Linked DNA regions of Rhinolophus ferrumequinum. The protein of the gene in region 1 interacts with the protein of each later gene in a pairwise test. Links are inferred from orthologs where the notes say so. Each region holds a gene or a part of one and is shown in the gene's direction. Other genes may lie near its edges.

The links.
Region 2: the proteins of TACC1 (region 1) and MEMO1 interact in binary tests that used the Homo sapiens proteins (3 or more experiments, as listed by UniProt). The two-hybrid records come from large-scale screens. The link is inferred for Rhinolophus ferrumequinum from reciprocal best matches to the Homo sapiens genes TACC1 and MEMO1.
Region 3: the proteins of TACC1 (region 1) and LSM7 interact in binary tests that used the Homo sapiens proteins (3 or more experiments, as listed by UniProt). The link is inferred for Rhinolophus ferrumequinum from reciprocal best matches to the Homo sapiens genes TACC1 and LSM7.
Region 4: the proteins of TACC1 (region 1) and CKAP5 interact in binary tests that used the Homo sapiens proteins (3 or more experiments, as listed by UniProt). The link is inferred for Rhinolophus ferrumequinum from reciprocal best matches to the Homo sapiens genes TACC1 and CKAP5.

What each region holds. Positions count from the first base shown.
Region 1 is NC_046287.1:61,008,608-61,016,570, reverse strand, and holds the start of TACC1 (transforming acidic coiled-coil-containing protein 1), read left to right. Parts: upstream 1-4,962; 5' UTR 4,963-5,317; intron 5,318-7,963. UniProt on the Homo sapiens protein: Involved in transcription regulation induced by nuclear receptors, including in T3 thyroid hormone and all-trans retinoic acid pathways. Might promote the nuclear localization of the receptors.
Region 2 is NC_046296.1:49,726,361-49,734,330, forward strand, and holds the start of MEMO1 (protein MEMO1), read left to right. Parts: upstream 1-4,969; 5' UTR 4,970-5,387; coding exon 5,388-5,448; intron 5,449-7,970. UniProt on the Homo sapiens protein: May control cell migration by relaying extracellular chemotactic signals to the microtubule cytoskeleton. Mediator of ERBB2 signaling.
Region 3 is NC_046301.1:60,955,944-60,963,127, forward strand, and holds the start of LSM7 (U6 snRNA-associated Sm-like protein LSm7), read left to right. Parts: upstream 1-4,170; 5' UTR 4,171-4,278; coding exon 4,279-4,284; intron 4,285-4,376; coding exon 4,377-4,467; intron 4,468-5,742; coding exon 5,743-5,814; intron 5,815-7,184. Other genes in the region: SPPL2B (signal peptide peptidase-like 2B), read right to left, coding at 162-281, 4,058-4,117. UniProt on the Homo sapiens protein: Plays a role in pre-mRNA splicing as component of the U4/U6-U5 tri-snRNP complex that is involved in spliceosome assembly, and as component of the precatalytic spliceosome (spliceosome B complex).
Region 4 is NC_046294.1:14,201,217-14,208,479, forward strand, and holds the start of CKAP5 (cytoskeleton-associated protein 5), read left to right. Parts: upstream 1-4,252; 5' UTR 4,253-4,339; intron 4,340-7,263. UniProt on the Homo sapiens protein: Binds to the plus end of microtubules and regulates microtubule dynamics and microtubule organization. Acts as a processive microtubule polymerase. Promotes cytoplasmic microtubule nucleation and elongation. Plays a major role in organizing spindle poles.

The sequences.
Region 1 (7,963 bases):
GGAACCCAACCAAGACAATCCCAGAGTTTATCCCCAAGGGCAGCACAGGCTCAGCAGAAGACTATAAGCCTATCAATGACAAAGTTTCTGGCACATAGTAGGTGCTTAATATATCTTTATAGTGTGAATGAATACGAATGCATCAAGATGGATTCTTTGCCTTTTCTCCCCCTCGGACTTCTTTTGTTTTCCAGAACCTAAACCTGATGGCTCAGGTGGGAGAGCTAAACGTGTGCTAGATGCTTTGCACTACTCATCTCCTTCCATCTTTACCACAGCTGGTACTGCATGTCTACAATCTCTTACCCCAGAGACAGGTGTGCTTCATATTTTGGAAAGGTAATACTGCATAATATATGTTATATTAGATAAAACCCCCAGTGGGCTAAGGGGCACCTTGCAATGAAACACGAAAACCCTTTTTGCAGTGAAATGTAAGAATATTCACACCAAGAATAGGCCAGGTCTTGCTGCTGAATGAGTTATGAAATGCTTCTGGTTTGCAGAGTGTGGGAGTTTGGAAATGGTGGACAAGAGACTGTGGATCTACGAAATCCTCACTTTTTGGATGTGTCAACTGAGATTCAGAGAGATAAAGTAATGTGCCTAAGGTCACTCCACTAAGGCAAAGAGTCCGATTACAACACAACTTCATCCAACTCCAAAGCCCATGCTCTTTCCATTGCGTAATTCTGGTCTACTCGTCTTGTCTGCTGCGCAGTACAAAAAGGAGTAAATGGCAGCCGTTTCTGGTGCGCAGCTGCCTAGAGCGATATGCAAGACCAAGTTTATAAAGAGTTTTCTGGCTGGAATAGCCATGCCTCCATCTACTGGACGTATGCAGGAATGACATCTGACCCATACAGAGAAATGAAGTGTATCCGGGTAATGGATTCTAAAGAAGGGTGGCTGAATTGTCTCCCCCTCTGTAACCGTGCAAATCATATTTCAGGAGCCAGAAAGTTGCTCCTAAATTATGCCTACATAATCTATCCTTCAAAATAATAACAACAAGAAGAAACCTCTTTCACCCAATTGCCAGAAATTATAGCGTGAAAGTACCAGTTTCACCATTCTCAGTACCTCCAGAACATCTCTTCTAAAACATGACACTCTCTGGTTTTAAAATTTTCAGTGGTTCCCATCAGTTAGAGAAGTGACTCCAAGGACCTCCTTGCAACCACACTTGCTGCTCCAGCCATTCCCCACATCATGCACTTTTGCCCTCACTGGACCCTTGTCGTACCCGTATTTTCTATAGTAACATCTGGAACTGCCGACTACATTTGTTGCTTTGCTTGCTTCCTCTGCTAGACTCCTAGCTCTTGTACCTTTTAGGTTACCTGGAATATAGAATGGGTTTTCATCATTTCTGAGAGATGAAAAATTAGAGTGAATTTATTTCATTAGCTTAAGACAATCAAAAGTATGTTCATTAATTAAAGGTACATATAGTAAGCATTGTCAGGCTCCTTAAATCTCAGTGGAATTACATTTTAAAAATCTGTTGACTATGAATTTTGGTAGAAGTCAGGATGGAGAGAGCTTGGGGATATTTGTTTCCCTAAAGAAGGAAGATTGTCAAAGAATCACTGTATACAGAATGATTTGTTCCTATAAGTAATGATTCTTTCCTTGAATCTCCCACATCATCTTTTCTTTCCTCAGACAGTGTCCTGAATTCCTCAAAGTAAAACCTCAAAGAGAATTGGCCAAAGAAGCAAGAAACTGTACATGGAATATGGCACTGTAGAAGTTGGAGTGGGTTACAAAATAAACAGATATTGCTCTTATTTTTAAGTTATTTGTATTGTTTTTTTCAATAGCTTTATTTAGATATAATTTACATACCATTTAGAGTATACAGTTCAGTGGTTTTTAGTATGTTTACAAAGTTGGGCGACCATCGCCACAATCAATTCTAGAACATATTCAACAGAAAGAAAACCCCAAAGAAAATACCCTTTAACTATCAATCCCCAAGCTTCCACTCCTGGCATACCACCAGCCTAGCTGCTGGCAGCCTAATTTCTGTCTCCATGGATTTGCCCATTCTAGACATTTCATATAAATGAAATCATAAAATATGCGGTGTTTTGTGACGGGCTTCTTTCACTTAGCATAATGCATTCAAGAATCATCCATGTTGTAGCATGTATCAATACTTCATTGCTTTATATGGCTGAGTAATATTCTATTGTTTGGCTATGTCACATTTTGTTTACCTTTTCATCAGTTGACAGATATTTCGGTTGTTTCCACAGGAGCTATTATGCATACAGCTACTATAAGCATTCGTGTAGTTTTTTTGTGTGGACATATGTTTTCAGTTCTCTTGGGTATATACCTTGGAATGGAATTGCTGCGTCAAATGATACAGGCATGTTTATTTCCTCTCCCTACTGGATTAAAAACATCCCCAGGGCAGTGTTTGAGGCATTCATCTTTTGTCCCGGTGCTATGTACATAGATGTTCAGTAAATGTTCATTGACTGAAATAAATGAATAGATGATATTTGCAATTCTAACATGATACGGGGTAGAGACTTGGGGGACTAGATGGGCAGCGTGAATAAAATTAATCTTTTTTAAAAACTCAAATCATGAACAGTTTTAACAGTGACAAGTAAAATTGCAAAATACACCTCTTAGAACGTCAGCTCCCATTTTGTATAATGAGAGCAACAACATCTTACAGAATTGTCCTATTAAAACTGTTTTCGGGGCGACCAGTTAGCTCAGTTGGTTAGAGCGCAATGCTCCTCACACCAGGGCTGCCAGTTTGATCCCCACGTGGGCCAGTGTGAGCTGCACCCTCCACAACTAGATTGACACAACGACTTGACTTGGAGCTGATGGGTCCTGGAAAAACACACCTAAAATAAATAAAAGTTTTTTAAAAACTGTTTTCATGTGAGGAGGCCTCAAACAGACCTGGCACACACAGTCAGTACTCAATCAATGCTCTGTAGGCAATTAAATTCAGAGGCCCCTCATCCACAAACCAGTTCAAGCTTTGGTCTTCTGTGAAATATTGTCTACCTTTGACCTTGAAAAGACTGGGTGTTCATTTCACCTTCAGCTCTGTCGTTTGCTGCACAGTGTGAGATCATTATGCTTGTGTCTACATTCGTGATATCAAAGTAGCTACCGTGTTTCCCTGAAAATAAGACCTAGCCAGACAATGAGCTCTAATGGATCTTTTGGAGCAAAAATGAATATAAGACCCAGTCTTATGTAAGACCCGGTATTATATTATATTATACCCAGATTTATAGTAAAATAAGACTGGGTCTTATATTCATTTTTGCTCCAAAAGATGCATTAGAGCTGATGGTCCGGCTAGGTCTTATTTTTGGGGAAACACAGTAGTTTAACGAGTAAAAAGAGGTGACTAATCCAGTGAATCTTGCTCTCAAGGTAAGAATTAGAAGTGCCGCCTCACCAGTTCTGCCTGGCAACATCTCCACATCCCGGTGGTGAGCTGTGCTTGCCGGAGCTGCAAGCGCTACAAGTCTGTGATTTTTGACCTCAATTGAGGGCACAATCAATTTTTTAAAAACATGTGTTGTCTATTGTTTACATATCAAATAGACTCAATCTGTCTTCCTCTTTTTAGAGTGTGACTCTTGATTATTTGGGGACAAAAACCAAGTGAGGAAGTTCTATGTTTATTTTATTATTATGTTTAAATATGTTTTAAAAATAGGCATCCAGTTAAATTCTTTTAATGATGGGTTTAAATTTTGTTTATTGGAATTATTTCCACACACACTAAAATGAGTTTGAAATGTTACAATCTCTAAATTTCAGAATATAAATGCATTTCAATTACTTTTAAGTTCAGGGACTCAAGCTAGAATGAAAAAACATCACTTAGGTCAGTCCTGCTTCACTGATTAGATAAAAATAATATGTAATCAGTACATCAATTCAACAATCTAAAAATTACTAGCCTCAGTCTATTATGTATACAGTGTAATTTTTGTAAATGAAGGATACTTCTAAAACATTTGAAACTTTCTAATCTGACTAATGGGCAAAAAATTCTTTTTCTTATAATCTTGTTTACACAATTTATTTATCACCGACCATCTTTTAATTCATAGAACAGAGGAGATATTTTCATTTCCTGTTTGTGAACAAATCTCTAATTAGCACTGTGAGAACTACCAGGTTTTATTGCAGGGGTCAACAAATACCTTAAAGGTTCCCAATTTCTGATGTCATTTGACAATTTACAGATATGCCACCCTTCAGGCGATAACCAACGAATGAATCTTAGGATGGCTTCTCATCCTCATGTATCCCCACCCCAGTTCCTCCCAGAATTATAATCAGGAGTCTTCCAGCCCCATTCCTGGGGGAGCTGAGGAGGCAGAGTTTGTACTCTGGAACTGCACCCCATTTGGGAAAGGTAGCCTATTCCTGTATTAGCATCATAGAAAGACCTAGAACTAAGAGAGGGCCTTGAAGACAATCCTTACCCCTCCTGCCACACATCACAGACTGCACTGCGGCCCTTATGAGCACATGCAGAAGGCTGACCTGGTCAGAAACCTACCAGACCATAGTTTAAGGGTATTTTCACTACAGATATTAAAAGTTATTATTGTTATTTTTCAATCAGAAGGGGAGGAAATAGCCAGAAGGATGTGGGTGTGTATATTTCTTGGAATCCAGAGGTTGGGGGGGGGGGGTGGAGAAGGGGGAAGGGAATCCATGAAAAAAAATGTCCCCAGTACAAAAGTTGGCAAAACAAGTTGCTCTTTAAAAAAAAAAAAAAAAAAAAAAGCTGAACTGTGTAACAGGAGAAATATTTTCTCTCACAAGGAGAGAGTGTTCCTGAGCCAAGTTTAGACAGAGGAAAAATTTTCCAGCATGTCAGGAACGAAGCTGACGTTCCATTAAGAAAAAAAAAAGTGCTGGAGGAAATAGTAAGGGGGAACAGGCACCAGAATTCAGACGGAGCTTTAAATTCCAGACGGGCCGCAGTTGTGAGCACTCGAGAAGGTCCCCCTTTGAAAGCAGACTCTAGTTGATTTCTCTCTTGAGGTCCCAGCCCCAGTGGACATTTCCTGTTCTGTCTCTGGAAATTCAAGCCCAAAATTACAAAACATCCTTTCCCTGTGACCAAGTGCTCGGTTCGGAGACCATCCCCTCCCCACGTCAATGATCTCAGTCCTGCCCTCTGCTTCCTTCCGCGGAACCCCTCCCTGACCAGTGGAGCTCGGCTTCCCAAGGAGAGATGATGGATTTGCTATAGCAGGTGGTGCAAAAGCCAGAGGGAAACTACCTTGGAACCACCGCCGAAGAGGTAGGAACCAGGGTACTGGGCGTTCTTGCTATCGTTTGACGTTTATTGAGCAAAATGAGTTGCTTGTCCTTTAAACCTTGGGCTGAGGGCATTTTCGCTGATGGGTGTGTGTCGTGGGTGGGTGGACGCAGAGGCTAAAGTCAGGCATTTCTTTTCCCACTCTCTTTCCAAATTTAACTTGAATTCCTGGGTCCTTGGAAGCACACGTTTTGTCTGAGTTCTGGTGTGGAAAGAGCTATGGCAGAATTCTGGGAATTCCCTAATTTTCTTTGTTTCTTTTTCTTTTCTTTTTTTTTTTTGTGGACTCCCTGGAATGTCAAGGAGCATTCGTAAATACAATACCTTCGGCTTTGAATAGATTCAGAGAGAAATGACTGAAGTGGAAGGGCTAGAAAAGGCATTTTGCCACCATGAACTGGGAGCCCGCTGTTCCCCAGGGCCTGAGGATCTGTCCTTCCCTCTCTCCTGCCCACCGTCATGTATGGGAGCTGTCCCTCCAGGCATGGAGATGTGGCACCTTGAGCCACATCTGTACATTTATGGGCTCCACTGTGTGAGGCTTAGCTGCCTGTGGCAGAGATACCTGGTGTACCCAGAAAGCTGCATGTGGCCCTTGGCTTCCTGAGGGACGTGCTCTCAGCTGTCCTTGCTGGAAGGCTAGCTTTGGCAACACATGTGCTGACATTGGACTGACTCAGAGAACTCAGCATGGCTTCTGCACAAGGAGTACTTGAAAATTTATGAAGCAGTCATAAATGAAGCATTTCAAATGCCCTTTCTCTGCACTCCTATGGCTTTGACTTCTCTGAACCACACATTTTGCTCCTTAGTCACATGCTGCTGTGCACCATTCTCTAACAGGCTAAATACGAGTGGAAGAATGAATTGAACAAAACTAGTCATAACCTATTAGTTGGTGATCCCAAGACAGCCACTAACTTTTGTTGAGCACTTGCTGTATGCCAACCACCGTTCCAAGGGTGGTGGGAATCATCATCATCATCACCCCAATTTTACAGATGAGGAGATTGAGGCTGGAGACACAGAACGTAGTAAGTGGCCGAGGAGGGATCTGAACTGAGGTAGCCTCAGTCTGGAGTCCATGCTGCCATGCTCCGATACCAGGAAGACTGAGGTTTGAATCTTGGTTCCAGCATTCTAGCTGGATGACTTTTGACAATGTAAATGTCCTCAGTTTCCTTATCTGTGAAATGAGATAGTAATAACCCAACCTCACAGAGGTGTTGTGAAAGGTAAATTAATTTTAAAAGATTATTTTACTGAAGCAAGTGAACAATGTAAGCGCGTTCTTCCCATTCCTGAGAGTGTGCACTATGAACGTGGAGGGATCCCTTGTAACTAAAAAGTCTCCAGGTTCAGTAGGAAGCAGCAACAATGTCTTGTTAGGTTTGTACCTTCCACCAGGGACATTGGAGCTCACTTGCCAGCTAGTGCAACACTAGCTCACTAGACTCTAAGCTCCCTAATGCAGGGATGGTATCTTATATACATTTGTTTTTCTTAGAAAAATGTTTAAGTTGTGGTCTAAGGACATCGTTGCCCTTCGGAAAGGGCGCAGGGTCCCCTTTGGGGAAGAGTTCAACCAGGAGCCTGTGGGTGCTCCAGGAGCTTCCTCTCCCCACTTCCAACAAAGCATCTTAACCTGACATATGTTGGGGTGTCAGTTGAAAGAACTGCTCACCTGGAACAAGGAATGTTTTGTGTAGGCTGAAAATGACTGCTTATGGAACGGAGTTGATTTATAGATGGATTTCTAGCTTGCCCCTGTCTAGGCTCTTACTTTGCCCTCCCCATCCGCCTCCTACTTAATGATCATCTCCTGCCCTGGGGAGCCCACTTGGAGGCGTGTGCCAGCCAGGCTCAGGAGGTGAGCTCTTCCATCTCCGGTAGCCCATCCTCACATGCAGGGGTAGACAAGGGGCAGAACCCCAGAGAGCTTAGATTACAACCTGGCCTCTCTCTGAGTCTTTTCCGAATGTGCCCTTCTCACTTCTGCTCACAGTTACGGACTGCGTGCTCAATAATCGTGATAGCGATTATTGATCTTCTTTAATGACAACAGCTTACTTATTGAGCCAGGCATTGTGCTGAGCACATTACACAGATTAGCTTATGTACTCCTCACAAAAGTCCCGTAAAGCCCCCTTCGGCATGATCCCCACTTTGCTAATGAAGAACCTAAAGGTAGAGACATTAAGTGACTCAAGGACACCCAGTCAGTTAGTGGTGAAAGTGGGATTGGGGCTCCATCCCCTGAGTTCGAGCACACTGCCTTGAGTATTTTTGCAGCTCTTTTTGACAGAGGTAAGGGGGCTATTGTGTGAGTTGAGTTATTTTATATTTTTGGAAAAGGATGTGCTCGAGAATAGGCTGGGAAGAACAGAGTGAAAAGGCCAGGACAGTATGTTCCATGGAAGGAAGGGTGCCTTTGTGAAAAAGTGGAGTCAGCATTCTTGTCCAAACTGTATCCCTGATAAACTTGACCTCTTCTGGAGAGGTTGTAGAGTTTAGGGAAAAGAGCCAGGTCTGTAGCCAGACTCCCTGGGTTCAAATCCCAGCTCTGCCACACATATCAGCTAGATCATCTTGGGAAAATTATCAAAATAAGGATATCCTATGTAGAGG
Region 2 (7,970 bases), on another chromosome or scaffold:
GGTAACTGGGGAAGTAAGTTTGGGACAGGGAATCAAACCCAGCTTAATGCTGTATTACCTCCCCTTAATGCTATGTTACACTGCTATAATGCTGTCAGGTGGGCTTACATTTTTTCTTTGGGGTGGAGGGATCAATTTGACCTTATGTGTGTATAGTAAAAGCCCTCTTATTGGGCTGGTAGATGAAATTTCAAGTAAGTCACAGTAGGGAATTAAATGACACTGAACTGTTTTTTTTTTAAAACCTAAAAATATCAATCTATGTTAAAATGGCAGTACAGTACTTTCAGTTTTTTGCTCTGGGTATGGGTTCTTTGATTGGAATTCTGTATCATTTTTTTCCACAAACCACTCTTACAAAAGTATGGTCTACAAATTTCAGTTTCAGACTTATTTGAAAGTAGAGTAAGATTATAGACATTTAAGAAGTAATTTGTAGAATCATTTTTTTTTTTTCATTTTTTCCAGCCTGTGTCATCTGCCTTTAATTTGACAGTTGTTTTTATTGAGTCTTTCCAAAGCATTCCACCGGATTTTTGTACAAACACCTTTTGCATTGTATGTTTGTATTTCATTGGTTTATGTAATGTTTAATTAAATTATGTAATGGCAATACCTAGTATAACTGGTATAAATAGCTTGGAGAACATGACCCTTGTTATGCACACAAACTTAGGAGGAGAGTGCAATAGGGTGAGAGTTTCCTAAAAAGTAGAGTCTACCAGCTTCAAAAGTTCAGCTTGTGGTGGGCATTGTTCAGTGTATTTTACTATGGGAGTACAGATCATTGTTCCAGTAAGTTGGTTAAATACAAATCAGTTAAGAAAGTTTCTACTAGTATATTTTGATGAGATGTTTTATGTGCAGCTGGCAACTATAGAAACAATTCCTACTCTTTGAGCACTTAATTTTTAGGGAAGATACTGTTTAGTAAAAAAATACAGAAATTGAGTAAAGGACCGTATCCTATAGAGTGGATTATGTTGCTAGGTGGGTTAATGGGAGGACCAGTAGATTCTTGGAGGAAACAGATTGTGAATTGCAAAAAAGAAAAGCAGTTTGGATAGAAGGTGATCATCTACCTAATTCTGATGAAACTAGAGGAAGAATATTGAACCTTTGTTTAAATCTTATTTAGGAGAAGTTATAATGGGATTTTAAGATTGATAACCCCGTTAGAAACGTGATTGAATGGTTGGATAGCTTAAAATATTGTAGCCAGGTATTTTCCTGGACTGGATTCCACAAAGGCATTATCAAATTGGAAGCCTGATACATATCGTCACACATTGTAGAAATGAGGGACAAAAGGTGAAAGCTGTAAGTGGCTATCACTGAGAATCCACTTGTTTAATCTCTGGATTTAAATTGGAAAGTAGGAAAAGTATATATTAGTGGAAAATGGGTCATCAGAGATAAAAGGGGCAGTCAGTAATGAATAAGAGTTTTTAAAAATTTTATCAGACTTTAAAAAAAACTAAATCTTTGACTAAGTTCTATTTCATTTCTGGGAATCCTAAATACTACAAATAATAAATTTGAAAACAGCTTTATGTACAAAATTTATTCCAAAAAATTGGGAACAAATTTTCTTATAAATCATCTTACAAGAATCATTATATATGTAAAGTTCTTAGCCCAGTGACAGGTACATAGTAAGTGTTTAATAAACATTACTTACGAAGTTAGTAACTTCTAAAGAAGAAAGGGGAAAAACTGACTGATTCTGTTAGAGTGCCAATTTTAATTGAAATGAAAAGAGCACCTTTATACTAAACTTTTCTCTCAACCTTGATTTGTTCAAAACCCTGTGGTATCATCCTACAATATTTTTCTGATATATGTGTGTGTGTGTGTATATATATATATATACATATATATATACACATATATATGTATATATATATATGGTATTTAGTAATTGGGCTCCTCAAGCTGTCAGCAGCTGTGAATAAGTAAATCTAAAAATAGTCCATTTAATGTTGCCATGTAGATTCCAAAGATCAAGCCTAAAGATGTAAATAAATTATTACGTTTCATATAGGTAGTATATGTATATGGCTCAAAATTCAAAAGATACACAAAGATGTACATTGAAAAGGTTAAATCTTCTCCCCGCCCCAACAGTTACTGTTACCAGTTTGTTTTGTATCCTTCTAGAAGTATTCCATATATATACAAGTGTATGAAAATATAAGTACTCATTTTACACAAATGGTAGCATACTTTACACATTGTTCTGCAATTTACTTGCTTGCTTTATTTTTTATTTAACTCTTTACATACCAGTATATTACAGTACCACCTCATTCGTTTTAACGGGTTTACATGTATGGATACACCCTAATTTAACAACTCTTATATTAATGGACATTGTGGTTGGTTGTGATAATTTGCTAGTACAGAAGTAATGTATGCTGTAGTAAATATTTGACATGCTATTTCAGAAGATATGTTGGGTTATTAATGTTGGGTTCTGGGTCTAGTGGTGCCTTATTTATTGAAGGTCTGTGCTTCATAAAGACTCTATTAATGAAGATTTCCTTCTTGCCCTTTACTATTCTGTTTATGGAGTGTCAAACCCAAGTCCCTAGTGGATATAATGGAAATTGTTAATAATAACATGGGAATTGTACAGTATTGCCAAACAGGCTTCTCTGGGATACTAAGTGAGTATTTTTGCATTATATGAATCTTCCTTAATTTAGGAGAGGTGGGTAAATGAATAGTTACAACTTATTTCTTTCAAGAGTCTATCCTTAAATAAAGTAGCCAGAATAAGATGGACAGAAGGAGTAATGAATGATAGGATATACAGAGCGTTCTAGAGATAATAGATGATCCTCTAACCTTTTACTTTGCTTGGCATTGTGGTCTTTGCTGAGTTTGACCAGTAATAAATAAATCTCCAATTGAGCATTTTAATAGGATGTAAGCTTAATTTTAAATTAGATTACTAGTTTGGAATGAGACCTAGGATTGTTGCTAGGAGCAGAGGATAATGATAAACATTTACAAAGAACAGTTTATAAATCATTTCACATACCTTACATAATGATTCTTACAGCAAGCCTGTGACTTCGATATTACTGCTGCTTTCATTTGATAGATGAGAAAACTGCAGCTTGAAAAGATTATATTACTAGATGCCCATGATCACATAGTTGTTGAGTGAGAGCCAGGACTCAAATCTGATTTTCTAATTTGACCTGCTTGAAATACAAAACTTGCTTAGTTCATTGTATCTACTGTTCTCTCCCCTCCTTTTTTTTTTTTTTTTTTTTTGGCCATGGAAACAGAATCAACAATAATTAACTTCAAGAGCTATCACTGTTATCAACACCATATCAACCATATCAACAGTTTCCTTTTTTTGAATATACAATGAAAAGTTTACCATTTCATCAGTTATCACTAAGTTTGGTACTCCAGGAATGGTACCATGGAATCAGAGCCCCAGTTCTTTTTTCTGTTAATCCCTAAATGACTGCTTGGCCTGTCCTTTTTTTCCCCTTCTTCTGCATATCTTAATATTTGGGCAGGTTAGTGATGAAGTGAGAGGGTTAAACATTGAGTAAAAAAACGATTCAGTGGAGGTATGTTAGCCTGATAACAGTATAGAAAAAGTGTGAAAGTCGGAATGTTCCAGTGATTGACCAAGCTTTAAGACTGGAATTTCACACAAGATCCTTGGGCCTTAAAGTTGTAAAGGTGTAGGAACAGGATAGTACTTCTTTTTCTCTTTTTTTAAATGTATGTTGTTATGGCACTAGGGAAACTTGAGTACTAGGCAGCCAGTTATGTGCTTTGGACTCTACCAAGGATCTGTTTAGTGTGAAATTCTGGTACAACATTTAATGGTTTTAACCCCAAATCTTTCATTGAAGATAAGCAACTTTTAGTTTGATATGCAACTTTCATTGAAGATACGCAACTCTTCCTAGTTTTGGAATGGTTTACTTCATAACACTTCCTGGGAGGTCCAAGATATCCTACTTTGCTGTGATTCTTCCATAATTTGAAAGTCATTCTTTGTGGAACACTGGGATTGTTAAAATAATGGAGTATTGGAAACAATGTTGTATGTATGCCTACTATGTCAGGCTCTACATTTATTAAGTCAATCCTAGGGACACTCCTTGAGTATTGTTATCCCCATTTTATAGATGAGAATAACTGAGGCTAGGTATATCACTTTCATCTAGTTAGGGAATTAAGAATGCACCTACATAAACATAACATGAAACGATAAATGTTATTAGTGTCAAAGCCAAGATTAGGTAGTAAGGATGGCCCTGTAAAGCAAAACTAGCATTTTCTGGATGGACCATAGGCACATTACGTTATGCCTGCTTCTACAAATGAACTTCCCAACGTGGCCAGACTTGCGTCCCTAGGAGTGAAACCTTGGGGGTGCGAATGCACTAAGGATTCCTGTGTGTGACGGCTACAAGCACTCCTGGTGGAAAGCCGCATCTGCGTGCCCCTGGTGCGCTTCATTTAAGGAAGTTGGCTGGGGGAGGGGGCTTGCCCTGCGGCTGCGTCCTGCCCCCCTCGCCCTCCCCCTCCCAGCTTCTGCTGCCTCTAAACCCCGGAGAGCGGAGCAAGCACGTTGAGATTCCTCGGAGGGCCTGGCAGCGGCTGCTGGGCATGCTCAGTGGGCAGGACCCGTTAGAGTGGCGAGTAAGGAACCGTTGGCTGTTCCCCCGGTCTGCCTTCACCGGTTCAGGCCCCGGCCCTGGGCTTTTGTGTGCGCGGAGCCGCAGCTGCCACTGCCTCCTCGCGGGGCCATCCGACCCCAGATGCCGTCTGGCCTGTCCGGTTTCCGCCGTTAACCTCGCCGCGCGGCCGGAGGAGGAGCGGGGCGGGGCGGGGCCGGCGGGCCGGCGGCCGGGCGGGCAGGAGGGCCCTGCCCCGGGTTGGAGTGGGTGCGGGGAGTCCCGCGGGGGGTGGGGGGAGGGGGCGGGCGCGGAGTCACGGGGTGGGGTCACCGGCGGTGGCTCTGGGAGGCCAACTGGGAGGGGAGGGGGCCGTGGGGGCGGTTCGGCTGAACCAGCCCCGGCTGGGGAGCAGCGGCGACTCCGGGGGCCGGGCCAGGGCTTTCCGGGCTTCGGCGAGGCCGCCGCGGGCCCCATCTTCCGGCGGTCGCCGGAGTTTGTGGTGATTGTTGCTGCCGCCGCCACCGCCCCGGCTGCCATCTCCTCCTCCTGGGCCGCCGCCACCTCCTCTTCTTCCTCCTCCTCCTGGGCCGGGCCGATCCCCTCCCCGCTGCCGCCTCCTCCTGGGCTGGGCCCGCGGTGTCTCGTCCCCTCGCGGAGCCGCTCCTGCCGCCGCCGTCGCCGCCTCCTCATTCATCCTCGTGCACCATAGGCGGCACAGGCACCAAGATGTCCAACCGAGTGGTCTGCCGGGAAGCCAGTCACGCCGGGAGCTGGTACACAGCCTCAGGTAGGGCCCCAGGCCGGCCGGCCCGCCCGCAGCCGCCGCCGCCTGGCCCCACGCCCGGCTCGCGGAGGTCCGCGGCCCTGCCCCGCGCGGCGGCGGGAGGGACGAGGGCGCGGACGGCCGCCGGTCGCGGACCGCGTGGGGAGGGAGCGGGCCGGAGGCCGGCCTCGCCGCCTCCCCCACCCGGGCGGCATCCCGCCGGGCAGCCTCGGGCTGGCCGCCCTCACGCTCACCCTAGAGTTGGGCGAGAGGGAGAGTTGCCGCCCCGGGCCGCCTGCGCCGTCCCCTGGGACCTGGCTCGAGGAAGGAATGTGCTCCCTGTGCTCCTGGACCCGAGCCTACTTGTCGCCTCCTCCGGCTGCCGGGATGCGGGCGGCCGAGCGCTGCCACCCCCGGGAGGACGGTTTGCCCGGCGACCGAGCCCAGCTTCCCCCACCCGCAGCTGGGCGACCCTCCGCCCTCTTGCCCACGGGGGGACGCGCTCTCCTCCCCTTGCCCGCGGTCCGAGACCCGGGGAGTTCTCGGAGTGTCTCCGTGCACACCCGATTCTGCTCGCCGTCTGCTGGAAGGAAGTCTTCTTCTTTCCTCTGGCAGTTTAGAAAGCGGCAGCATTTCCTCCTGCTCTTTAAGGTGCTCAGCTGTCTTTGAAGAGTGAAGGGTAGTACTTTCCCACGTTGCCAGACGAGAGACAAGGTCTCCGCGTGTGAGATGTGGAAGAGGAGGGCCTTTTCTGGGATTTGCAGCTCCGTATGTTGGGGGTAGGGTGGAAGTATTTCTAAGCAGAGGCTAGAGGTGGCCTCCCAGCTCTTTTGTCAGTGTTTGCATTGTTACTGTCATTCACGAAGGGGGCAGCTGGAGATGGATCAGCACTTTTCCTGAGCAGCCTTGCCAGCCTCGAGTCGCTCAACACCAAGCAGGTGCTGGGACTACCTAACAAATTATGTTTTGAGTGAATTTCGTCTTGTGTCGACACTTTAAAAACATTTTCGAGCTCTGTAAGTAAGTGTAGGGACTTTCCCTTTAATAAAGCTCATGATAGAATGACTGTTTTCTGGGATTACTTTCAGGAGTCACATTTCTGGTAAGTTAACAAAAGAAAGTTCCACTGTGATTCCTAATAGTTTTCAGTCATTTGGTATTGGCTTATCAATTACTGGACTTAACTTTAATGTGAACCGGGTCGTGTTTCCCTTTGCAAACAGTTGGGTTGGATGGTGACATGGTTTGTGAGAAAACAAAGATTTGGAAGAAAATTTATTTCTCTGAGGTTGCTAAACTAGCTCATTAAATACATGCATTTTACTGACTCACTGAAGATTTGTTGCTCAGAAGACACAAAAAAATCATGATGATTGGATTTGCAAGCCTAACAGGTAGCTACAGTTTGTATTAAGCGTATGACATTTAATGGTTACAGTGGCTCCCCTTCATGGTCCTAAAGTACTTTATAAACAGTTAATCAATTCTCACAACCTTAGAATGTCAGTTAAGTTTTTCTTATCAACCTAAGATGTGCGTAAGACCGAACTAAGCCAGTGGCAGAATAGGAATTGAGAAATGGGATTCCTTGGTTACTGGGTTTGTCCTCCAATTAGTGCATTATTAATATTAAATTTATCAATGATTATTACTCATTTCCATGTTGTAAATCACTAAGTTTTCTTCAATGTGTTTTGAAGAGTTAAAAAAGTCAGTATTCACTTTCATGGTCATCTTTGGGTTAAGTTCTTTTGCTTTTGTTTTCTATGCCTTTGTATAAATGTTTTAATTTTTTTTGTAGTTTGCACTGAAATGTGGGCAAATGATTATGGAGGAATTTTTATAGAGTCTTGAACATTCTTTGTGTAGTCAAATAAGGTATATTTCACACTTCGGATTTAAAAGAAACTTCTTCAGTAATTTCAAGTCGAGGAAGAATCCTTTAATCCAGCTCAAAACATTCTGTGATTATAGCTATTCATCATTAATGAACTAAAATTAACAATTTTCTTATCTTTTTAAAATATATTCTATTTTCCTAAATTCTGAATGAAATCAATAATGCCATTTTGGTAATGTGAATTGTCGCAGAGAAATCTTAAAAAAAATTTCAGACCATGTGTGGCGTGTGTGTCTGTGTATGTGTGTGTGTGTGTGTGTGTGTGTGTGAGAGAGAGAGAGAGAGAGAGAGAGAGAGAGAGAGAGAGAGAGGGAGAGATACCTTAAACTTGAGTAATAATGGTGAATTGAAAGCAATTTAGTTATAAAAGCTTATTTTGTATTTTAAAAATAAGTAAAACTAGAGGTAAGTAAACTTCGACTTGGTTTAGTAATTCCTTTAATATTATCCCAGTGTACCTATATTGATAACATCGACCATTGGAAAAATTCTGGTTATATTATTATTGTTTCCCTAGTAAACTAATCCTAAAATGTGTAATAGGAGAACAGTGTGCTCGTGGATTGTCATTCTGTGGTTCCTGCAGCATTTACATTGTGTCCATAGAGTTAAAGTGTTCAGTTACTGATATAAATAAGGGTGAAAT
Region 3 (7,184 bases), on another chromosome or scaffold:
GTGGCCCAATCCTACCTTGGTCTCCCAGCTGAGGTCCTCCTACCCCCCCAGCTGGCTTTCTGCAGATGAGTCTCCTAGAGGGCCTCTCTGGACACCGGGGAGGGAAGGGGGACAGCCACAAGACAGACGAAAGCCCGAGCCCGAGGGCCGGCAGTACTCACCGCCTTGCCGAGGTCGTGTGGCAGGTGTGCCCACTGTGGGTTGTAAAGGATGCAGTAGTCCTTGCCTTTGGGGCCCCCCGTCTCAGAGACCACACGCACCATGCCGTACTCACAGGTCACCTGGAGCAATGGGGCAGGGAGGGGTCAGACCAAACAAGGACAGCCATGGGGGTCGGGCTGGTTTCCTCCCTCCAACAGGACACATGGGGCACAATCGTACGTATCTCAGGGGGGAGAAAACGAGGGAGGGTTGCAAGCTCAGGGACAAGTGTCCCCAGGGAAAGCTGGTGTGACCACGGCCCTGCACCCTCCTGGCCCGACACGCGCTCTGCACGCTTCGTGCTCCTGGGGCACATCCTTTTGCAGCCTTGCTGTCCTTGGGCTACATATGCCTCCAGACAGAGCCAGAGAGCCTGCCACGGAGACAAACAGGTAGCAGCTGCTGCCAACAATGGGCACATGATGGGGATGGATGCCAGTCGGTACCTCAGGACCCATACCCATAGCACGGATGCTGCTTTGCCAAGGTGGGGGCGTCCACCTTGATGGGCCGTGGGCCCTGACACCAAGCCTGGGGTACGGACTGGCTCTCAGACAGCCAAGCCCTCCGGGAGCTTCTCATCCTGGCCTGGTTACCTAGTGGTGGTGAAGGCGCCCTGACCTCACAGCCCGGAGGCTGACACCAGGCGCCGGTGCAAGTCCCGGCCCCACAGTCCCCGACTGCCAATGCTCCAGCTAGCCCAAGTCATCTCGGGCACTTCCTTTTGTCACCTTGAGTGAGGTGCCAACTGCCAAAGCAGTGCTCACAGGTACCAAGCTCCAAAGAAGCTGGGTGTGTAGGGCCACTGCCACGAGCACTCACAGGAGAGGAGGGTGGGGCGGGGGCTGCCTGAAGCTGACGGAGGCGGTGTCAGAGAACTTCACTAAGGCAGTATCCTGCGCCCACCTGCCTCTGCTCCCACAGAACCTCCACACACTTCTCATGACTCCTCGGTCCCTTAATAGGGGGGCAGAATTAGGAGGTCCCTCTTCCAGGTTCTCCCCACCAGAATGCCCCCAAGTACCGTGCTCAGTGTATGCCCCTTCCGATGGGACACCCCATGATCAGAGCCACCTCCTGACTCTGGGTCACTGCGGGGAGTGTACGGTCCCTCAATCCTCAGGCCTCATCCGGCCCACCTTCTGTGTTTGCAAATAAAGTTTTATTGGAACATGGCTGCCCTGTGCCTGTATGCAGGGCTTCCGGCTGCTCTCGGCTACCATTGCAGAGTTGGACAGTTGCCCGCAGAGCCGAAAATATTCAGTCTGGGCCTTTCCGAAAATGTTTGCTGAGCCCTGATCCATGAGAGCTGGGTAGTTGGCAAAAACTGTCCTTTGTGTAAAATGGGAATGGGTAGAAACTAGTTCTTTATAAAAAGGACATTTAGGAATACACAAGCACACCTACAAACTTTCCTCCCCACGACTCGCACAACTAAACCTGTGCTGTGTCCAACGCTAGGGAGGGCATGGTTTCGCTTTGAATGTGGTTTCCTTGCCTGCTGTGTTAAAGGAACCAGAAGTTCGTCAAAAAGACCCAATGCTGCACGTGCCCGTGTCCCAGCACGGCCCATCCCCACCTGGAGAACCAGGACCAGCCACGTTCCGACACGTCACAACACCGGGCAGGTCCAGGAACTTCCAGGGGACCTGTGCTTTAGGGTGAGTATGACAGCATCCACCTCTGGGGATCTGAGGGAGGCTAGAGCCCAGGCTGGGGCAGTCTCCCTTCTCATAGGACGTGGTGAGTTCTGGGAGGCGGTGGAGAAACGAGGACCCAGGTGGGAAGCAGAAGTTCTGGTGGAGCAGTAGGGGGCCTGGGCCAGGTGGTGGTGGGGTTAGTGGAGGAGGGCAGGGTGGCACTGACATTAGTTAAGATCTGCTGCTAAGCCTCTTGTTCAGGCCTTTGTTTACACATCTCATAGCAACTGGGGGATGTGGGCCTATTGGGGAAGGTGAAAGCCATCGCCCAGATCTCAAAATGGTAGCGAGTGAGTTTAGGGCCCAGTGGGGAGCGAGTCTATTCGCAGGTACCAGGAAGAACCAGAGCACCCGAGGGGCACCGTCCGGTGTCAGGGTGTGTTTACATCCAGGGGTCTGTTCTAGGAAGAGCAGGCCCCACTGTGCTCCTCACTCTCTCCCAAGACTACATGCTAAGGATAAGCCTCAGCCTGCCTGGGATAAAGTGCAAAGGCCCCAGAACCATGAGCCGTCCACCACTCCCTGCCCAGCCCAGGGAGGCCACATACCCAGCCTGCCCCTTTACCCTCTGTCCTTATCATTTACTCCCGTGGCCCTCGAGCTGAGGGGGAACCCCAGCCTGCCCTTCCAGTGCACTCCCAGGGCCTCCTTTAGAGTGACATCTATCTCAGGACCTAGGCATCAGACCAGCCTCCACACCAGCCACAGTGGACCCCTCACCGTCCCCAAATAAGTCATCCGCTCTCACACCTCCGCCAGCTCGCGCTGCTCCGACCACCGGCAGTGCCCTCCCTCAGCCTGCACCACCTAGCAAACTCCGACTCCTACCTCAGAACAGCCCTGGGGCACCACTGCTTCTGAGAAGCCTTCCCACTCGCTCTGAGGTGTTCCCGTGCCTCTTCATCCCCTCTCTCTGCTCTCATTCAAAACGTGTGGAGAGCTCCAACTCCTGGCCCTCAGATTGCTCAGGCCAGTGAGGAAGATGATTAAACAGGCTCGGGGGAAGTACAGGGGCATCCCGGACAGCTTGGGGGGAGACAACAGCTAAGCTGACACCAGGATGACCCCGGCATTCCAGGGAAACAGAGAAAAAACAAAACAAAACAAAGCAGCTTGCCTCCAATAGAGGACAGCTGGAAAGGGAGGGGCACTTCCTGGTCAGAGGGATCAGAGGCCTCCCAAATGCACCAGGACGCCACCTGAAAGCTGTCATCTGGACAAGACCTGAGACACTTTGAAAGAGATCACTACTGTTGTGTTGAGAATGGACTGGGATGTGGCGGACAAAAGCGGCCACAGGGAGAACGCTAGCCGCCCGCTGGGAGCTACAGCGGAGAGCTGGTGGTGGGCTGGAGTGGGCAGGTCAAGGTTAATGGCTGTGTTTCCACAGCTGTTACGGGCACCATTCCCTGAGCTGCTGAATCCAGGGAGAGGAAGGATTTGGAAATAAAAGATGAGCTTATGACAATGTACATCAGCCATCTCATGGTCAGTCCCCCACCAGCACCAAAGACCCTTAACGTTAAATGACAAAAAAGTAGCATGTTGCGCCTGCATCACCCCATGCACTATCTCGCTGAGTCCGCGCTGTACTCTTATCTCCTTTTGCGGAGGAGCAACTGACGACCAAAGCGGGGGAACTCCTTTGCCCAAGGTCATGGAGTAAAAGTGAGAAGGAAATTCGACCCCCCCTCCAGGGCTGGGCTCCTGGCCGCTCCCCGACAGTGCCAGGCACTGGGTGCCGCGCTGGACAGCTTACCAGAACCCCCGGGGTGGGCGCTGGCATCGTGCTTAAGGGATAACTGAGGCGCAGCCACCAGGTCAAGGCTACGGAGCCAGACGGGAATCTCCGCAGCGGTTAGGACGCCGAGACCAGCAGGGCCCGGGGGACGAAGAGGGGCCCCCAACTTCAGACCCGCATGGAAATGAGTGACGCAGCGGCTGGGAAGGGCTTCCGAGGCGGGGAACGAAGCCGGGCAAGAGACAGGCCCGCAAGGTCACGGCGGGGCTCCGGGCCCGCGGACCGTCCGCGCGGGGGGCTCGGGTCCCAGAGGCTGCCCCCAGGCTGGGCCCAGCGGGGGTCGTGCGCGCGGCCGAGGACCGAGGGGCCGGGTCACCGCATCTGGCGGGGCCAGCGGGGCCGGCGAAGCCCTCACCTGGGCCGCGAAGAGGAGGATGGCCGCCGAGAGCCAAGCCACGGGTGCCGCCGCCGCCATGTCTGCTGGTCCCCGCCGCAGGCGTCGCCAGATGTTTCCCAGCAACGCCCCAGCGCGGTGCGCCGCGCCGCGCAAGCGCCGTACACATTCTGCGCGTGCGTGAGTGGCGGGGTCAAAGGGCACGACGCCGGCGCCTGCGCAGAGTGGCGCGACACAGCAGAATGGCGGTGAGCGCGAGGCTGTGCTTGCGGGGCCGAAGGGGCGGGCTGCGCCAGGGCTGGCGGCGCTGTTCGCCTCACACGCTCTGCTTCTCCTGCAGGACAAAGAGAAGAAGAAGAAGGAGAGTATCTTAGATCTGTCCAAGTACATCGACAAAACGATCCGGGTGAAGTTTCAGGGAGGCCGCGAAGGTGAGGCCCCCCCCACTCCGCACCCTCCGAACGGTTAACGAAAAGTAACACGCGGCGATAGTGACAGCTGATGCCCGGGCCCAGCTTAGGCGCTTGGCCCAGATGACTCGCGCAAGTCTCCTAGCGACGCCGGGAGTTCGGAGGTGGTATACCCCTTCTGCGGCTGGGAAAACTGAGACATGGAAAGGGGACCAAACTTAATCCAACCCACAGTGGGTCGTCCGAGGTTGAGACTTTGCCTCCTGTGCGGTTCTGTCGCTGCAGCTCCTCACTGGTCTCCCTACACCAGGGTTCCTCAGGCTCCGCACTGTTAACGTTGGGGTCCGAATGTTCTAGGTCGTGGGGTCGGTCCTGGGCACCGTGGGGTGTTGAGCAGCATTCCTGGCTTCACCCAGTGTCCCTTGGGGGGCAGACTCGCCCCCGTTGAGACGACAGAGCCCTACAGTGAGACAGACTCCCGGTGTGGACTAGAGGAACCTGTTAAAAACAAATCAAATCTTGTTTGCTGTTCAGCTTTCTGGGGCTCCCCATTGTCCCAGGGTAAGGACAAACCTTTTGTACCTCAGAGTAACAAGTGGAGCTTTCGTCGGCCACCGGGCTGTAAAGGTACTATTTTCTCTCTGCCTGGAGTACTCTTACGAGGTTAACTTGTTACCTGGTTAACTGCCAGAGTCGTTTTCCTGCTCTCAGCTCGAGGCCCTTGCTCTGGGAAGCCTTTCGTGACCCTCCAGCCGGGGCTAATCCCCTTCGTCATAACCTTCTGGTAGCACCTGTCACAGTTTGCAGCTTTATGTGTTAACATGGTGCTTAACTGGAATCTAGTGAAGAGAGGGCAATACAGCGTCTGGTCCCCACCTTTCAGGGAAAATGGGCAAGCAGAGTGCTGACATAGTGGGGTACCTGCCTCCACTAGGTGAGACCAGGGCAAAGGGAGGCCTGGAAGAGGAGGGGTGGGAGGTGGAGCGTTACAAGTAGAAGCACAGGTGGGTGTGAAGGTCTGAGGCCAGAGAGAATGGTTGGGAGAGGCATCAGGGTGGAAGGGTGGGTGGCCTGTCCGGGGCACGCAGACCACACCCCCTCTCAGGTGCCAAGATACATCACTTGGTCAAGGAGCCATAACCTAGGATGCCTATTTGTTGTTTTAATTGAGGTAAAATTCACAGAACATAAAATTCGCTATTTTAATGTATGCAGTTTAGTGGCAGTTGGTACCTGCCTCCCGAATGACTCTTGATCTTACGCCTTTCTGTTTCGTTTTTTGGTCATTCCCACAAGCCAGTGGAATCCTGAAAGGGTTTGACCCGCTCCTCAACCTTGTGCTGGATGGCACCATCGAATACATGAGAGGTGAGCGCAGCCAGGGGGCTCAGAGGCCTCCTTGCCGGGCCTGTGTTACTGTCCCAGACCCACTCACCTGCCGTCTTAGTGATGAGCACGGTCCTTGTAGAGCAGGCCGGTACCGGGTGTGTTTCATCTCCCACCCACCCAGCATTCCAGGCAAGCTCAATAGGCTGTTGTCTGGGGACTCAAAGGATGTGGAGGCGTTTTGTGATCCACCATCACTGGTCCTGAGGCCCGTGCTGGGCACTAAGAGCGTACCCGGCATGGTTAGAAAGATGTCAGCCAGTCTCCTGCTGTCACCATGTGTTCACCCCGGTTCCTGTCCCTCCAAGTCCCCAGACCCTTCGCAGCAGCCCACGGCAGTCAGTCTGGCTCATCCTGAGCCAGGCATTAAGGGGATGCCAAGGCCTAGGAAGGAGGGAGGGAGGGAGGGCGGTGTCCCTCAGGGGACCGTCAGTGTCTTGACACACACGTTACTCTGGTGAAAAATTAATGGAGCCACACATGAGTGTCACGGGGCCAGAGGGGAGAGGCCCTCTTTGAGGGAGAAGCATGGTTTCCGCTTAGCCAATCCCGGGGAGCTTCTCTCTGCCCTCATCTTTTCTCTTCCTGCCTGGGTCTGCCTCCTTGGGTGGATACATTTCTTCGTCTGTAGGACAGCTTCACTGCATGGGGCCCGTGGGGAAACCAAGTCAGCTTGAGTGTGCAAAGCACTTAGGGCCATTTGGCCCTAAGAGGTGTGGCTGCTGCTCCTTCCTCAGAGTGTCTCCTACCAGGCGGCAGACTCACTTGTTGAGTGAGTCTGCGTCCCCAGCGGAGGCCTGACACACCGCACAGTTCCCGGGAGGGGAGGCTCAGGCCCAGACAGCCGTTGTCCCTGCAGGATCTGAGGGTAGAAGACTGCCTTTCAAATCTGCCTGGTTTCAGCGGGCCACCTGATTCTCCCCTCCCCAACATCTTGCAGTAACAGTGATGAGGACTTGTAGTCGCTGTCACCTCCGAAGAGCTCCCCTCGAACTTGCTGTTACTTCCATGGGGTCCCTCTCACCCTGCCATTAACTCCCCATTGACACGGGTGAACGGGCCCCACGGGGCTTCTGCCATTGTGCAGAAACCCAGAGCCCCAGACCAATTTGTATTCCAGCTGCCCTCTGTTGGCTCGGTGCCAGTGCCCCTGTTAGCTCCACCCCATAGCCCACGGTCCCCCGGGTCTCTGTGTTCTCACTTGCAGAACCAGGGCAGGCTTCTCCCCTGAAGGCTGATGCAGGGAGAAAGGCTGCATGTCTGGTTTGGGAGGTATTTGGCCTGCCGCCCGGCCAGCATGTCCCCACCGAGGTCCTGGAGGGAGGGGGGAGGGAATGATCGGGGTATCGTTC
Region 4 (7,263 bases), on another chromosome or scaffold:
TCTTACTGCCAAGTACATACTCTGATTGAGCTATGCTGGCCTTCCTGTTTCTCAAACCTGCCAGGTACACTCCTCACTTAGAATCATTACATAGATATTTCCTCCGATTGGCACTTTCTTCCTCTAGATATACTCAGGGCTAACAGCTTTGCCTTCAAGTCTTCGCTCAAATGTAATCTCAACGAAAACTACTCTGACTACCCTTTATAAAATTATAGTCTTTCCAACCCCACTTCCCAATTCCTTTTACCCTGTATTCTTTTTTCTTTTCCTATTGCACATATTGTGTAATAACATAGTATATATTTATATGTTGATTGTCTATGTGTCCTCATTGTAATGTGAGCTCCAGGAGAGGAGGGATTTTTTTGTGTTATCTATTTTGTTCATTGATTATCCCAAGTACCAAGAACAATCCCTGCACATACTAGGTGCTCAATAAATATTTGCTGAATGAATGAGTGAATAAATTAATGGAATCAGACATCTATTGCCTACCTTCTAGAAGGGCTGCACCTAAACCATCTAAAACAAAAAAGGGATTTTGACATCTTGTTCTAAAACTCTCTGGAACCCACACTCCATACGAGCTTTATTGAGCAAATTTCAGGTTACCATCACCCTCTCCTTAAATGTAATCTTCCGTTTATTTCTGATAATATTTAAATAAAATAAACATGCCAATGATCAATGACTGAAGAAGACTATTTCTATATATTCATAGCCCACTTCTCACAGGTTACTGTGACCTTTTTGCTCTGATTGGCTCTTCTCTCCTTCCCCTACCTATGAATCTGTCGTCATCTACCACCACAATTTTATTTTTTCACCCTACAGAGGTGACTCACAAATCTATATCACTTGAGTCCTATTCTCTGTTCCCAGCTCTCATTCTGTTATTTCCTAGGCCTACTTAAATGATTCCATTTGAATGTCTCATTGGTACCTAAAAAGTAAACAGGTCTAAAATTAAACTTGCCTTCCCTTTGAGACTGGCTTCTCCTGACTTTCTACTTCCATCTGGGCAATCACCACCTACCAGTCCCTAGGCTCAAATCTTGGAATACTCTTCGACTCATTTCCCTAAATGGGCCCCACCCTCACTTTTGCACTTAATCTGGTTGGTTGCCAAATCCATCACTCTTTCTTGAATCTGTTCTCATCATTTCCAGGGCTATTACCTCATACCAGACTAAGTAGGCTCCGAATCTAATCCATTTTACACAATCAAGCTAATTACTTTTGCCAACGTGCAATTTTGATTTTGTCACTCCCTTGCTCAGAAACCGTCAATAGCTCCCCATTTCCTACTTAAATAAAGTATGAATTCCTTACCCTAGTATTCAAGACCCTGTAAGAATTGTTCCTAACTTTCTCTTTTAATCTTGTATCCTACTACTTCCCGAAATGAACCCTGTTCTAAAATCAAAGCCACATGTTCAATTCCCTATATACAATGCACTTTCTTGTTTCTTTCTTTGCCCCGGCTCCTACTTTTCCTGCTACTGGACGTTCTCCCTTCTCCTTCTACTATAAATAAATAAATAAATAAACAAACAAACAATGGTAAAAATTTCATTTCCCTCCCTACCAAGTCACCCTATTAAATAGTTTCTTGAAATTCCAGAAATGTTTTAACCATTTTCAGGCATGCACACACATACACATACAGTGGTACCTCGGTTTTCGAAAGTCTCTGTTGACGAACATTTCGGTTTACGAACGCTGTAAATTTTATGGATCTATGGTATCATTAGATAGTAAAATTCATGCTAAATTTGCAGTTTTAGGGGTTGATTTTAAAGGTCTGGAACGGATTAATCTATTTTGCATTACTTTCTATGGGGAAACTGTGCCTCAGTTTTCTAATGTTTCTGAACTAGAATGGTCTTTCAGAATGGATTTTATTCGAAAAACCGAGGTACCACTGTACATATATGATAAAGTCATTCTATATGTGCTTTTCTGCAACTTACCTTTTTCCCCCCTTCTTTCACCTCCCCTGACCTCCCCAACTCCAGTTCAAGCTGTAGGTTCTCAGTCTAGTTGTGTAGGACACAACTCATGGCCCATGCTGGTATTATGAGCCTTGCACTGCAATTGGTCGCTCACCAGTCATTGGTCGGCCACACACAGCAGCTCACAGTAGTGCTCACTGGCTGCTGGCCACTCATGATGGCTGCTGACCCGACACTGGCCACCAGCCGCTCCTGGCAGCACACAGCAGCCCCTGGCATGGGCACCCAGCTCCAGGGAGAGCTGTTGTTCACAATCTTAGCTGTAGAGGGCGCAGCTCACTGGTGCAGCTCACTGACCCATGTGGGAATCGAACCAGCGACCTCAGCGTTAGGAGCCCGCGCTCCAACCACCTGAGCCACCGAGCCTGCCTCCTTTTTTCAATTAAACAAAATGTGTGTATTTTCCTACACCAGCACAGGTTAACCACATTCTTTTTAACAGTTGAATATACAATAATTTATAAAACAAGTTCCCTATGAATGGACGTGTAATTTCCAAGGTTTTCTTTTTTTCCTCCCCTATCTTAAGCAATGAATATCTTTGGACGTTTTTTTTTTTTCATACTTGCATAGAGCTATAGGACAAATTCCTAAACAGTGGCATTAGTGGGCCAAAGGTTATGTACATTTTACATTTTAATAACTGCACCAGTTTGCACCAAGTATACTCTCCGTCTGGGGAGACTTTCTCCTTAGTCCTTTAGTTCTTCTGGCTGGTGGAATAATTCAGATGGCATACAGCAGATTAACAGGAGAAAATCAGATTTTAATACATGCTCACAGGGAAGTCACATAAGGATGATAATTCCAAAGACAGTGAGGCAAAATGAGGTATATATGTCATTTTGGACTAAGGAGGTGGAGGTAGGCAATTCACAGGTAGGGAGAAAGAGCAAACATTTGGTAAATAAATTCTGGCAGGGCCACCCAGAAACAATGGGACAAAGGGGAATCTAGTGGAACATATTTTTCTTGGATCCTCTCCGTCTGCCATACTTCATTCATATGTGCTAAGGTGAATATGCTAAGGTTCCCTTCCTGAAGCATGTTTTTCCATCCGAATCTCTTCGGCAGGTAGGGTGGGGGTGTGAGGGGGGGAGGTAAAAAACTCTCCCCGGATTTTTGGGGCTTTAATTGTTTTCAGCTCGAAATAATCTGCATGCTAGGGTAGCACATTCTGGGGAGACTGGCTCTGGAGCCTCACAATATTCTTACCAACAGTGAGTTTGAGTGTCTGTTTCTCAAAATCTTGGCCAACCAACGGTTGTTAAACTTCTTCATCTTTGCCAAATTGATAGATTAAAAAAATTATTGTTTTATTACTTTTATCCATTCCCTTTCTATTTTTTAACCTGTTAGGTAATTACATGTTCTTTAAATCCCAGATTAAAAGTCCATCCCCTTCACAGATCCCTCCTCATCAAATTTCTCCCATTACTAAGTATCTACAGCTTTTCTGTTATATAGTCTTAACTGCTTTGAATTTTAGTGACTACTCTGTTTTGTTCCTCTGACCAGTGTCCTTTGCAAATTTCTTGGAAATGAGGACCTGATCTTATTCCTAGAAACACTGAATGTAGAGCTGAATAAGAATTTTAGAGGTCATATTAACCAAGCCTCTCATTTTATAAATAAGAGGAGTATTAAGCTTTTGCAGAATGTGTTACTGTTCAAAAGGCCTCTCTTAGACATTCATTTAGTTATATTAAAGCCTCACTAAGCTTTTAAGGAAAACATCATTATCCTGTTTTACAGATGAGGAAACTAAATTCCAGATGAGGAAATTAAGCTCCAGATGATTTACTGAGAAAATGGTTTACACAGAGCAGGTCCAAGACCAAACCCAGCATCCTGCTTCATTTACTGCTCCTTCCATTATACCCCAGCTGCTTCTCTTGTTTCCCTCATGCACTTAGCTGCACAAATATCTGCTGAATGAAATGACTTTTTAAAAAATTGCCAGGTGTTGACAGCCGCTTAAATATCTATAATTTAAAAAAGCAAGCATGCTGACGGCTGGGGATGCACAACTAATTCTCCACACACCTTTAGCCCTTCTTTGCCGGGTGGTCGGCAGCTTTCGCTCCAGCGAACCTCTTCCCCACCAGACAGGCAGCGCAGGTCCCCAAGGAAACAAGATCGCGCGCGGCTCCTTTAAGGCTGCGGGCGGCGCGTGCCCACTGTCCCTTCAAATGAACCAATAACAGGGCGATGGGCGGTCCGTCGAGGACCAATAAACAACGAGGACACTGCGGGGTGCGCGGCGGCCCAAGCGGTTTCAAACGGCTTAGAGCAGGCCCCTTGGTTCTGACCCGGCGGAGGTGAGTGGGCAGTGGCCCCTACCCACCCGCGCAGGCCCCTGGATCCCGGCGTCACGCGCGCCGAGGGTCCCTGAATCCCGGGCGGGGGGCTCCACGGACGCGCGCCTCCCTCTCCCCACGAACCCGGCGGGTCTGAGGCGGCAAAGCGGGGCGGAGGCCGGGGGACCGGCAACTGGAAGGGCGGGGGGCGTGGGCACTCGTGTGCGGCCGAGGCCGGGGCTTGGCTCCGGATGACCCGAGCGCGCCGCGGCGAGGTGCGGCCGGCAGCGTCCTAGGGATGCGGGAGGCGCAGGGCCGCGCCTGGCGGCTGAGGGTGTTCCGGGACTGGGGCGGGGACCCTGTGAAACGGCCCTGCTACAGTGTCCATCGCGTAATTGTTAAATGAATGAATGAGTGAATAAGAGCCTATGAGGGCCGTGGTGGTTGCGCAGGGCCTGGTCGCCTCAGAGCGTGACAAGGACAGCGGTACCGGGCCCTGCCTGCGCACCTGGTCCCCTCCGACTTGCTGCGATTTTAACAATTCCGATCATACTGCTCCGCCCTTACGCCTGCTTCCCCTCTCCAAAGGTGTCAGTAGAGTTGAGGTATCTTTCCAGCTCTGAAGGTTTAAGGGACGAATACAATCACCAGCAGTTCACGTTGAGCAGGCCTTGGTACTTGAACGAGATTCTTACTTTTTCGCTCTTACTCTTTGGCTGTTGAGAGAGCTACCCTGCAATCGTGGTAATTGTCAGGCAGGATTTAAATGCATCCCGTTTTGTTTCTGGGATAGAAGATGATGAAAGGGGTGTTGCCAGAGTGGCTAATGTGTGTTAGAAAACATTCGCGTTGTGAATCTTAACTGAGTTTTTTATTTAGCATCAATAGAGGATGAAGTGAATTTTGCAGAACTTGCCCCAAATTTATGCATGGCTCTAATTTAATTCTCGTGGGAACCAAGGCATCAAATCTTGGCCCAGAAATGCTGCCTGTCTTATTTTATACATAATTATAGTAATTGAAAACTCATTTTTAGAGAGGTGAACCCCTCCTATCTCCATTTTAATCACCCTGAAAAGTCCTTCTTTGACCTAAAGAGCCAATAAATTAAGGTACCAATCTTTTGAAAACTTTAAGAAGTCTAAAAGATTTGGACTTTTCTTAAGTGACTGGACAAACTTTAATGTTTTTACAAAATTTAATGATATAGAGAAGGGTGAAATCAATTAATTTTGTCAGTAAAAATTAAACCTAGTTGGTAAACTCATGAGAAAAAATTAATATAAGTTTTTAAAGTCTGTTCATTCAGGCAATGGCAGGCAAAGGTATTCCATAACAATTAACATACCTTATACTTTATTACTTTTAAAGTTTTGATCATCAGCTTTGAATTACGAACAGTGGTATAGCCTTCTACAGCTGACAGCTCAGTTTTAGCAGCAGAGTTTTAATTGCAATAAATTTGAGTACCTTACTATTATAAACACTGTTCTAGGTTTTGGTGAGGCAATTAAAAATAATAAACATCTTTAACAATGCCTTAGGATATTGTTAAAAATCTTGATGGGGAATGAAAACTTTCTTTATATTGGAGTAAAGTAAGGTTCTCTTAGGTTACTTTGACTTAATGGAATCTCATTCAACAAATATTGAAATTGATGCCTACTGTGTGTTAAAGATTGTTCTAGAGTCTGGGAATAAATAGACTAATGAACCAGAAAAAGACAAAGCTTCTGACCTAAGGGAGTTTGACAATTTTATCTCTCAAACAATTTGCTTTAGCAAGTTGTAGTTTCCATAACCCCTCTGGCCCAGCTCTGATTCTTGAACAATATAAATGCTCAACTACTTCTAGCAGTGACTAACATTTATTGAATACTCACTGGGTACCACGTTTTATCATTTTTAATCCTCATAACTTTTTACAGATGAGGAAACTGAGTCTTAGAAATGTTTTGCAACTTCTTCAAGATCATTCGCGTACAACAGATAGAACCTGAATTTGAACCCAAGTTAGTCTATGTCCAGGGCCTTTGCTTTTAACCTGTGGTTGTATTATATGAAGTAATAGGATCTGTTAGGGATACTTCTATCAGAGACATGATGAAATAGGGATCATAGGCGTGGTAGTTTTTAGAGGCAAGATGAAGCAGTTCAAAATACAATATTTACCATATGGGAGATGGATAGCTGTGACAGTGGGGAGGGTACAGGGGAGCATAAAATTAAGATCTTGATCTAATTATCATTAATGGATTCCTGGTGGTCAGTGTTGGAGAGATTTGAGATTCTTTTTTTGTTTGTTTTTCTATAATTCAACCTTTCTTTTTTCTTTTTTTTTTTTAAATTAAAATTTATTGGGGTGACAATTGTTAGTAAGAGATTTGAGATTCTTAAATGATTCTCATATTCTTACCTCTAGATTTCAGAATATGTTACTTAGTTCATTCCAATCAGGGCAGTTGTCCTATCTACTTGATATATCTCAAACGCATTAAGCTTATTCTTTTTGGCCTTTGAGTTTGCTGTTCTCTTCTGGAACTTCCCACCCTGCTCTATCCCTGCCTCGAGCCTGTCTTTGTATATAGGCTCCACTCAGGTCTCAACTCAAATATCATCTCCTTAAAGAGGGATCTGCTAAGCTTTCAATTAGAGTAGCCCTCTTGATCACTTTTACCTTACTTTTCATTTTTATTTACTTCATAGCATTTATTGCTCTCTGATAGGTCATTTATTGTTTGCTTGTATTTTGCCTGATTTCCTCACAGAAATGAAAGCAGAGCACAGATTTTCCCCCCCTATCTGTGAATTGTTAACCCATACCCCTATGGGAAACAACTTTATCAACTAGAGTACAGTGCTTTTGTGCAATTCCTTTTGCCTTTAGTCTTACAAGACCCCATTCATTTCTGAAATTACCTAGGTCAGCACTTCCCCCCTCCCCC